Linked DNA regions of Sus scrofa. The protein of the gene in region 1 purifies or fractionates together with the protein of each later gene. This does not show direct contact. Links are inferred from orthologs where the notes say so. Each region holds a gene or a part of one and is shown in the gene's direction. Other genes may lie near its edges. The genes, in order: ABI1, CYFIP2 and BRK1.

Evidence for each region.
Region 2: the proteins of ABI1 (region 1) and CYFIP2 purify together in Homo sapiens (co-immunoprecipitation; 4 studies listed by BioGRID and IntAct, with this or other methods). This does not show direct contact. The link is inferred for Sus scrofa from reciprocal best matches to the Homo sapiens genes ABI1 and CYFIP2.
Region 3: the proteins of ABI1 (region 1) and BRK1 purify together in Homo sapiens (co-immunoprecipitation; 3 studies listed by BioGRID and IntAct, with this or other methods). This does not show direct contact. The link is inferred for Sus scrofa from reciprocal best matches to the Homo sapiens genes ABI1 and BRK1.

What each region holds. Positions count from the first base shown.
Region 1 is NC_010452.4:49,047,335-49,050,983, forward strand, and holds part of ABI1 (abl interactor 1), read left to right. Parts: intron 1-488; coding exon 489-589; intron 590-1,481; coding exon 1,482-1,562; intron 1,563-3,649. UniProt on the Homo sapiens protein: May act in negative regulation of cell growth and transformation by interacting with nonreceptor tyrosine kinases ABL1 and/or ABL2. May play a role in regulation of EGF-induced Erk pathway activation. Involved in cytoskeletal reorganization and EGFR signaling.
Region 2 is NC_010458.4:65,999,393-66,003,141, reverse strand, and holds the start of CYFIP2 (cytoplasmic FMR1-interacting protein 2), read left to right. Parts: upstream 1-1,565; 5' UTR 1,566-1,704; exon of another isoform or gene 1,705-2,119; intron 2,120-3,749. UniProt on the Homo sapiens protein: Involved in T-cell adhesion and p53/TP53-dependent induction of apoptosis. Does not bind RNA. As component of the WAVE1 complex, required for BDNF-NTRK2 endocytic trafficking and signaling from early endosomes.
Region 3 is NC_010455.5:66,321,714-66,325,214, forward strand, and holds the end of BRK1 (protein BRICK1), read left to right. Parts: intron 1-1,669; coding exon 1,670-1,752; intron 1,753-2,018; coding exon 2,019-2,045; 3' UTR 2,046-2,928; downstream 2,929-3,501. UniProt on the Homo sapiens protein: Involved in regulation of actin and microtubule organization. Part of a WAVE complex that activates the Arp2/3 complex. As component of the WAVE1 complex, required for BDNF-NTRK2 endocytic trafficking and signaling from early endosomes.

The sequences.
Region 1 (3,649 bases):
CAGACTAAAATTGGTTGTCATATTAACTTCCATAGCATCTTCTGGTGGCTTCCATCACACTTTTTTAATGTCTGTTTTCCCATTCTCAACTAGGAGCTCCAAGGCAGTGTAGTTCATGTCTGCTTTGTTCACTGATCTTTTTAATGAGGTTTTAAATACTTGTACTATGATTATATTGGACATTCATTTCTCAATGATTTCTTTTGATACTTCTGAGTACTTAGATGATTGTGCTGATTTCCTGTAGATGGAGAAGTAGAGTGAAACACAGAAACCACTTCTCCTTTAGGGTTAAAATTCGTATTGAACAGTTAAAAAATTTATATGCGTGCGGGTGTGTGTATAGACACACACCTGCACACATATTCACACAAAGGCAGACATGTACACTTATACATCATGAAAAGAGTATTTAGTGACCTTGAGTTGTTTTTGGGGGGAGAGGGGATAAATCTCTAGAATCGTTTTCATGAAGATTCTCTTTGCAGTGGAAGCAGTGGAGGCAGTGGAAGCCGAGAAAACAGTGGCAGCAGCAGTATTGGCATTCCCATTGCCGTGCCTACACCTTCACCACCTACTATTGGACCAGGTATATTCTCTACTAATATGTGGTAGCATTTATGAGCTTTATTTTAGAAGCCTAAAACAATTTAGTTATATTAGCTTAAAAGTATTCATTAAGTTTATGCAATTGTTAGAATGAAAACCAACAAATTAAAAAACAATTTTTCGGTTTTCCTGGAGTCTTTAGTGTTTTACAGCAATTTCTCCTTACTCATTAAAAAAAGCATATTAAATAGCTTTATTGAGTAATTTTTTTGGCCATTTCTTTTAGAAATACTTACCTTGGGCACTAGTCAAGAATGATATTATTTCAAGAGCAAAGCAATGTTGTTGATAATTCAATGAAATGATCAGTGTCTTTTATATGAATTATGAGTCATTGAGTATTGATTATGCTTTTTAGGCTAGTTTATCAACTATGGTGTTTGTTGGTTCTATGACTTTGCTACATTTGTGTATGATATATTTAATACATATTTCAGAAAAATGCCGTGAATATAAAGTTGATTAAACTAGGAAAAGCACTTTTACTTATATAAAACTTTTAAGATTGCAGAGTATAAAATTGGTCCCTTGATTTTTTTTTAAATTTTTTTTTTTCTTAGTAAATTGAAAGGATCTGTATGGTTTAAAAATAGACATTTTAAAAGTAGGTTTGATAATCAGAACTGTTAGGGAAAAAGTCTTAGGTTCTCAAGGATGTTGTTGAAAAAGGAGAAAAAGCTACTTATAAAAACAAGCATATTTTGTCATTAATGCAAGTGTGAACTCAATGGCCTTTTTACCTAGTGAAATTCTTATTCATTTGAACATGCTCTCTTTTTTTCTTCTTTCCAAAACATTGTACTTTCTTACTGTTTCAGAATGATTAGTTCTCTTTCTTGCACTCTGACCTGAATTATAAACTATTTCGTTAGAAAACATTTCTGTCCCTCCTCCTTCTGGAGCTCCACCAGCACTTCCTCTTCCACCACTTCTCCCAGTGAGCACTGTGATAGGTGAGACTGCATAACCATTGGAGTGATTGAACTCACTTTGCATAATTCACAGTAAACTCCTCTGTTAGACTGTTGGTTTTTATAGTTATTAGGTTGTAGGTGGTAATACAAAGTTTAAAGCATTAAATCTAATTCAGCACTAATTTCTTCTGGTGAAAGGCCTCTGAAGTTACACAGAAACGTCTCTGTGATGTCAAATGCTTCTATACCTAGTTTATAACCAATTTAATGTGGTTTACATTTGTTTTGGTTAGATTTTTCTAGGAGAATTATAGCAGTGATTGTTCAAAAAAATTTTTTTATTAATAATGCAATAATGCCATTTTTAAAAAGTGAAACTTGATTTGGAACTCCCTGGTACATACAGCAGTCAAGGTAGTTGTGTGAACGTGAGGGACAGGAGGAAGAAAAATGAAAAAGAAAATGATGTAATATGTGATTGCTCTGAGGCTTTCCTATGGATCTACAGTTGAAAAACTCTGATACAACCCAGTACTTATGGCATCTGAAGATGACATAAAAATTTTTTTTTCAATAAAATACATTTAAATTGTCCCCAAGAAATTCCAAATATAGACTCAGTATAAAACCATTCAGCCTAGAAATGCATGATAGCATTTGGATAGAAATGGATAGGGTTGTTTCAGATAATAAGAGCTGAGTTTCAGCTTAGGTGAAATAAAGTCATCTAGCACCTTGTTTTCAAAACATTGGCACATACACTCAGAGGAAAAGGAGGAAAAGGGAGTAATAAAAAAAAGCCCTAGTAATAGAAATTGTTGCAGAAATTCCACGTGAAAAGAAGATGCCCTCAATGTAATTAATAATCAGGAAAATGAAAATAAAAACTACAAGATGCTATTTTATATCAACCAACATGTGAAAATGTAGAAGTCCACCAGCACCAGATGTTGATGAGGATGTACAGTAACAGAAAAGTATGTTGCTGGTGGGAATTTACTACTTGATACACTCACTTTAGAAAATAATTTGTTACCTAGTCAAGTTGAACCAGGTTTCTATCGTATATTTATTAATTTCATTTCTAGGTATTTACCCTAGAGTACCGGTTCTCAAAATATGGTTATGGAACTCTTCCTGGGTGTTGCCAAGATCTTTTCATGGAGTTTTTGTAGTCAGAACTATATCCATAATAGTACTTAGACTTCTTTGCCTCTTTCATTTTGCATTCTGGTACAAACAGTGGAATTTTCCAGAGACAACATAACGTATGATATCATTTTTGAAAGCTAATGGGATGTGTTTGTGTAGTCATGTGTTTTTTTGGTTTTGTTTTTGTTTTTTAGCACTGCATTCGTGTGGCATATGGAAGTTCCCAGACAAGGGGTTTAATAGGAGTTGCAGCTGCCAGCCTACACCACAGCAAGGAGGGATTTGAGCCACATCTGCTGTGACCTACACCACAGCTCATGGCTATGCTGGATCCTTAACCCATTGAGCAAGGCCAGGAAGCAAACCTGCATTCTCAAGGATCCTAGTTGGGTTCTTTGCTGTTGAGCCATGGTGGGAACTCCCTTAATGTGTTTTAAAGATAAATCCGTTTTAATTTCTTTTTTTTTTGGCTTTTTAGGTCTGTACCCATGGCATATGGAAGTTCCCAGACTAGGGGTCGAATCGGAGCTACAGCTGCTGCCCTACGCCACTGCCACAGCAATGCCAGATCCAAGCCACATCAGCAACCTACTCCACAGCTCACAGCAACACTGGATCCTTAACCCACTGAGCGAGGCCAGCGATCAAACCCGTGTCCTCATGGATACTAGTTGGATTCATTTCCACTGTGCCATGATGGAACTCGAATCGGTTTTTTTTTTTTTTTTTTTTTTTTTCTTTTTTCTTTTTAGGGCTGTACCTGCAGCCTATGGAAGTTCCCAGGCTAGGGGTCAAATCAGAGCTGCAGCTGCCGGCCTACACCAGAGCTACAGGAACACCAGATCTAAGCTGGGTCTGTGACCTGCATCGCAGCTCACGGCAATACCAGATCCTTAACCCACTGAGTGAGGCCAGGAATTGAACCTGCGTCCTCATGGATACTAGTCAGATTTGTTTCTGCTGAGCCACAATGG
Region 2 (3,749 bases), on another chromosome or scaffold:
AACAAACCCAACTAGTATCCATGAGCATGTGGGTTTGATCCCTGGCCTTACTCAGTGTGTTAAGGATCCAGCATTGCCATGAGCTGTGGTGTAGGTTGCAGATGCAGCTTGGATATGGAGTTGCTGTGGCTGTAGCATAGACCTGCAGCTACATCTCTGATTTGACCCCTAGCTTGGGAACTTTCACATGTCATGGGTGGGGCCCTAAAAAGACACACACAAAAAAGGAAACCTCAGTTCTCTTTTTAAAGCCATCCTCCACAAACACCCCCACAGCTTTCTCACATGGCATCAGGGACAGAAATGTATATGTATACATAAGTCATCCTTTCTGAAATAGAGATTTAAATTAGAATGAGTGATGTAACATCAAACCACAAAGGATCATGAATCCTGAGCACTCGGGAAAGGATGTGAGATCAGCGAGGACAAAGACTTATACAAGTCCTTTGCTGAGTGTTGAGTAATGTGGCTCCTCTATAAATAACCCTTGATAGGAAGAGCTGAGTGATGAACTTTACATTTGCAAGCCCCTCAGATATATTTCAGGAAAGTTCCCTTGTAGCAAGACTTTACCCCCTAACTTTAAAACATCTCAAATGATTTCAAATCATTTACCTTGTGAAGTAGGAAAGGCAACGATTATTCCCCACATTTTAGATGTGGTGGCATCTCAGGAACAGAGTGGTGAAGTGACTTGCTCAGGGGTCCCAAGGTTGGAATTAGGTGTTGTCTGACTTCCACCTGGTTTGAGGCCCCGCCAGGATGCATTTCAATGTGAACCATTTCTTTGGAGGGCCCTAAATGGCAAATAAGTCTTGAAGAGAAAAGTGCCTGTCCTCTCAATTCCTTCTCTAATTTCCGTCATCATGGATTTGCCTTTTTGTCCATTAGGCAATTAATTCTTCCTGAATGAAGTTGAGGCAGGCCTCTGCTTAAGAGATGGCAGCTTCAGGGATTCCACACCAAGGAAGTGAAAGAGAGAACCAGTAGGTATTCTTGAACAGAGGAGCAGCATTTGGGATCAGACTCCATTGGCAGAAGCCCTCTCCCCAACTCTCAGGTTTATTTTCTACCATTTCACCCTGTTTCTTTTTTTCTTTTTTTTTTTTTTTCCACAAAACGGTCTTTTAGCTGAAACTGGACATTTGCCAAGTTAATTTATGCCATGTATCTCCTGATAGATGATAAGCTCCAGAAGGGCAGAGACTCTGTCTTTTGCATACCCCAGTGCATACTCAGCTCCTGGCACGGTGCTTGGAACGAAAGAAGTGCTCGAAAAATATGCATTTGGAAATCATGTGAGATCAATGAGATCCTAATGGAGCCCAAAGGATCAGTCCTCCCACAAGCTGCAGGTGTGGTTCCTGGGTCTGAGGGGCCCGGGAAAATCCTCCCTAAGCGATGTAGCTGGCTCTCCTGGGGCGAGAGGTCCGGGTGCAGGTCTGGGATGCGCCAGCCGCGCTGAGGGACGCACCCAGAGCCCCTGGCCGCAGCCATTTCCTGCTCTTTGTGTGACAGGCGCGGCGGCGAAGGGGCGGGGTGCGGGGAACGGAGGAGGAGCCGCAGCGGATGGAGGGGCGGGGCCGAGGGCGGGCCCAAGCGCGGCGGCCGCCGAGCCGGGCCAGGCAGAGCATCCTGCGCCCCGGCGCGGGGCCCCCGCCGTATCCTCGGGCAGCTCCCCTAGACCTGCTGCAGACCCAGGTAAGCGGCGCTCGCAGGCCTCGGGGCCGGCGTGGAGACCGGGATGCTGCTGGGGATGTCGACGCAGCCGTAGAGATGCGCGAGGGGCTCGCACCCCTTCTCCCAGCGCCGTGGGGGTGCTCGGCGCGGCGGCCGGGCTAGCCCGGCCTGGGGGCCCCAAGAAGCTCCCAGAGGCCGGGCCTCGGGCCCAGCACAGCCCGCTGCCCCCTTTGGCCCACCCTAGTGCCTGAGGCGCGGACCGCCTTCGGGGAGGCACCGACGCATGGAGAAGCTGAGGCGCGGTGGCGGTGGCAGCAGCAGCAGGTGCGCGGCCTGGGCCGAAGCCACCCGCCTGGGAGGAAGCGGCGCTCCTGTCGAGCATCTGAAGCACCTGCAGCGGCCGCGAGGCCGGCGGTGGCGACCTCCCGGCGCCCAGGTACCGCAGAGCGCCGGCCACCGCCTCTGCTGCCGCCTCTGCCGCTGTAGCTACCATCACCTCCCCCAGGGCCAGCTAGAGCCGCCTGGGCCCGCCTGGCAGCCGCCTTGGACGCAGCGCGCCCTGTAGTGAACGTGAGATGGGTGGAGCAGGGGTCTCCGCAGCGTTGTTTCGGGGTGGGGGGCTTTAATGAGCGAGGAGGCAGGCCTGACCCGCTTTGAAGCCTTCTGGCCTAGCATCCTCTCCCTCTGGCTGGCTGGGGGCGGGGAGGAGGTGGGGGGAAGGGAAAGAGTGGTCTGATTCCTGGGGGAAAGGTTGGGTTTTATTTAGCTCTGTAGTGGCTTCTGCGTTGCAGGACAGCCGCCTCCCTCCAGGGGTATGCATCATCTGAAAAGGTATACAAGGGCAGTTCTCCGTGTGGCAGTGGGGGTGGGGGCGGGAAGCATGGTCTGGAGTAGGTTCTGTCTGGAAAACCTGACAGAGAAGGACACCGAGACTGCCCAGGTACCCTGCTCAGCCCAGGGAATCTGACTTTGACCTCTGCCTGTCTAGTTTCCCCACCATAGCAGTGCGACTCACCAAGGACTGATGGATGGGCCTTCAGCTCCCCTTACAGCGGGGCCCAGAAAGGGACAAGGTTATTTTCCTGTGGGCTTCTGGGCACTTGTGCCTTCGAGGCATGGTCAGAAAGGCTGGGGTAGCCCTGCAGGCATGAGGGGCAATCAGGAGAGTGCTGGTTCCCACCTCTCCCTTCCCACCTCCTGACTCTGTCACTTTTGCGCACGGGGGTGGGTAGGGGGGAAAAGGAGGGGTGTGGGGAGGCCGTCGATCTTACCTTACTCTTGGGCACAGGCGCTGTTGCAAGCCATGCTGGCAGCTGTGAAGATTATAGCTGCTGGAGGGCAAAAATCTAGGTCCATATCCCTGGACAGGGTGGTGAAGGCCTTGAAAGTTGTTTTCTCCATCAGAGCTTCTCTGCGATCCCTCCTGAGACCGCTCACCTCTGCTTCCACACAGTGCCCTGTGCTCCACCCCCACCCCCACCCCCACCCTATTCTCCTGTGCCAGAAATTGTTTTCAAGAAAGGAGCCAGTGAAGGCATTTATCCTCAAAGAGCCAAATACAAACAAATTTCCCATTAGACGCAGAGCAGGTGCTTTAGAAGTCATTTGACCAGAAAGGAAACAGAGGCTTAGAGGCATTTTAATGGGAAACAAAGCTTTTAGTAAATAATATTTCATATCTCTAACGGTGGAATTTCAGGCAGTGGGCTGGAAGTGGGAGTGGGGAACTGGGTCGCAATTTTGGGGAACAGCTCACTGAAATGACAGCTTTTAGCAGCTGTCAGTGCTGTTTGCTTGCTGCAAGGGCAGCTTTGGCCTTAAGGGCAGAAATACCATAGGAGTAGTGTGTGTGTCTGTGTGTGTGTGTGTAACTGGTCAGGGGTTACTGTCACTAGAAGGCATTGTTGAGCACTCAGTGTCTATTTGGAAGAGGTGAAACCTATAGAGAGTTACTTGTTGACACTGGCTGCCATCTGCCAGAGCAGCTACTAGGCCACAAGAAGAGTGTGTTGTTGCTCTCAAAGCCAGTTCCCCTGGCTAGTTCTGCAGGCTGAGCCTCTGGCTGG
Region 3 (3,501 bases), on another chromosome or scaffold:
GAGATGAGTAAGATTTGGACTTGGATGAAATGAAAGTTGAGGCAAGATCAGGGTGCGGAAGATTTGTTAAAATGGGAGCTGAAGCACTTTGGCATAATATCCAGGAAGAGATGAAAAAGGTTGTGAGCTAAGTGTTAGATCACGAAGTAGGAGTGTCAGGGAGACGGATATTTTAAACTCAGAAGTGAGGATTATTATTATTATTATTATTATTATTTGGCCACCCCGCAGCATCTGGAGCTCCTGGGCCAGGGATCAGATCCGAACCTCAGCCTCGAACTAAGCTGCTGCTGTGGCAATGCCAAATCCTTAACCCACTTTGCTGAGCCAGGGATCGAACTGGAATCCCAGAGCTCCCAAGATGCTGCTGATCCGGTTTTGCCACACCGGGAGCTCCAGAAGTGCGGATTATTGAGAGGTGACTGAACAACAGTGTTGTAGGAGGGTGTAAATAATCAGCATGCCTGGAAACCTTTTTCTCCCAGATGTTGAGAACAGTTGGAGGAAGATTAGTCAGGTGATTTCTGTTAGAGTAGTTTGCAGAAGAAAAAGTATTTTAGGGGACATCTAGATTTCCTTTTGGGTGAGGTGGTAAAAGAGGTTGGAAAAGGTAGAGGAAGAGAAGGAATTTTTTGCAGATGGAAGGTGAGCTGCACAGGGTGTTCGATGTTCTCCAAGTTTCCTCTGCTTCTTAAAGGGCTATGCAGGTACTGATGAAACATCAGGTGCCCTCCTGGAAAAGCCGTCATGATGCAGCTTCCACGAGCTCAGAAACACCACATGTTCCCTCTTCCTCAGGGTCTGCTGCTTCCTTGGCCTCTGCTTTTCTTCCCTATTGAGATTATTTTCCTCTTATCATTTCCCCTTTCTTGAAGCTCTTGATTTGCCTATTACCAAATGGCCATCTCTACAGCCTTGGCGTATTAGTTTTCTATTTTCTGTTGCTGCCATAACAAATTATCACAAATGTAGTGGCTTAAACCTCATAAACATATTATCTTAGAGTTGTGTAGATTAGAACCCAACCCTGGTATCAGCAGGGCTGCCTTCCTTCCTGGAGGCTCTAGGAAAGAAGCTGTTTCCTTGCTTTTAGGTCATTGGCAGAATTCAGTTTCCTGCAGCTGCAGGACTGAGATCCCTGTTTCCTTGCTGTCTGTCAGCTAAGGGCCATGCTCATATTAAAAGGTCACTTGTATCCCTTGGTTCATGGCCACTTCTCTCCATCATCAAAGCCAACAATGGCAGGTTGAGTTTCTCTCACACTTCGAATCTCTTCTCATTCTTCTGCTTTACTTCAGCCTTTTCTGTCTACCTTTGTGGACTTGTGATTAGATGGGGGCCATCTGGATAATCCAGGACTTTAAGATCCTTAACCTCAATCATATTTGCAAAGTCCGTTTGCTTTTACAAGTCCTGGGGGTTAGGGAGTGGACTTCTTGCTGTGGGGGGAAGTGTTATTCTCCGCCTACTGCATAGCAAGTTAAACAGATCCTCTCTAAGCAGCTGTACTCCTAAGATACTTCTCACCTTATCCTCCCACTCCTGTACTTTGCCCACTCACTCCCATTTGTGCTCTGCATGATACATCATTCCTCCTCTTCATCTTAGGGGCTGTGTGTGTCTGTCTCTGGAATAACATTAATCCTGAACGCCAGTCTTCTTTTACCAGATATGTCTTGTCGTTCAAGACTCGCAACACTAAACGAGAAATTGACAGCTCTTGAACGGAGAATAGAGTACATTGAAGCAAGGGTGAGTATGATGGGCGAAGGTCTTCCTCTTGAGACAGGAGTGGCTGTGCAGGAGGGCGTGCATATTTCCACTTGTTGCTGAAAAAAGTTGGAAGCAGAAACAGGTTTAGAGAAGTTAAGTACCTTGCTTGGGTTTAAGCCAGCTTTCTGGGACTCAGAAGCTGTCGTCTTTTCTACCACTTCCAACTAGCTAGGGTATAAAATAAGATTTTTTTAGACCCCTCTAATCCTTTTGAATTTGTCTAATTGTCAGTTTTCCTTTGACAGGTGACAAAAGGTGAGACTCTCACCTAGAACTGTGCCATGCTGCTGCTGGGAAGTTGCTTTTACAGAACATGGGCCCACGTGGGAAAGGCCCCAGCAGCCTTCAGCTCCTTCCTCTCTCCTTAAAGAACAACAGGGCTTATTCTTGTTTTTCTTTTTTTTTCAAAAATGTGGCCTTTGGGCTCTGTGATGTACACCCAGGAATGTGATGAGGCAGGTGGGGAGGAGTCCAGGGAAACTCTTGGAAACAACATTAAGCATTTTACCTTTTCAGTAACACTTTGTAGAACTCCTTGTCAACAAATTTGAGGCTCTAAGAGCCAAAAGCCTGGGACTCTGTCAAGGTCCTCCCCATCTCTCTCTCTCTCTCTTAGCCTTTCCTTACAGCTCTCATTGCCTCTGCACTGATCCTATACACAGTCTTTGTCTCCTCCCCACCTTTGGTCGGGGTGGGAAGCAGTCCTGGCCAAGACATTCCTACCCTGGCGAGGTGGCCGCCAGAGAATGTTGTTGCCAACCCACCAGTTTCTTGTCCATTTGGGGAGGCCAAGGCCTCCCACTTGGCTTGAAAAGGGACATTTTCAGAATTTTCTTTCTGTCACTTGGGGTGTCTTTGCCTCTCATATTTCCCTAATAAACTCCTCAACTTTATCTGACTGCTGTGATTGTGGTGGGGAGAGGAGCTAGAGATGGGGCTCACCTCGTCCACAGAAATCTGATGTGTGGGATTCTTACTCCACTGTAAAACTTCTAGATGTAGCTATTTGATCAAAGCCTAGGTGGCTTGCCAGCTGGAGCCCCCTTATTTGGACTTCGGAGCTGACTAATTTGTTTGGTCATTCATCAGACGTTTGCCAAGTACTTACTATGTAGGCACTTTAAATTCCAATAAAAGATACAGTGTTGAATCAGGCATGATGCTTACAGTCTATTGAAATAACAGCATCCACACGGTTTAATTGCAATCCAGGGTAGACTGTTAGTTTTAAAAGGTACAAGATATGGAGTTCCCGTTTGGCACAGTGGAAACGAATCTGTCTAGGAACCATAAGGTTGTGGGTTCTATCCCTGACCTCGCTTAGTGGGTTAAGCATCTGGCATTGCTGTGAGCTGTGGTGTAGGTTGCAGATGAGGATTGGATCCAGTGGCTGTGGCTGGCAGCTGTAACTCCGATTCAACCCCTATATGGGAACCTCCATATGCTGAGTGTTTGGCCCTACAGAGGAAAAAAAAAACACAAGGAAAATGTCTACTTTTTTTTTTTTTTTTTTTTTTTTTTTTTTTTTTTTTTTTTTGCTTTTTAGGGCCGCACCCCTGGCATATGGAAGTTCCCAGGCTAGGGGTTGAATCAGAGCTGCATGAAGCTGCTGGCCTACACCACAGCCACAGCAATGTGCTATCTGAGCCATTTGTGCAACCTACAACACAGCTCCTGGCAGCACTGGATCCTTAACCTACTGAGCGAGGCCAGGGATTGAACCTGAAT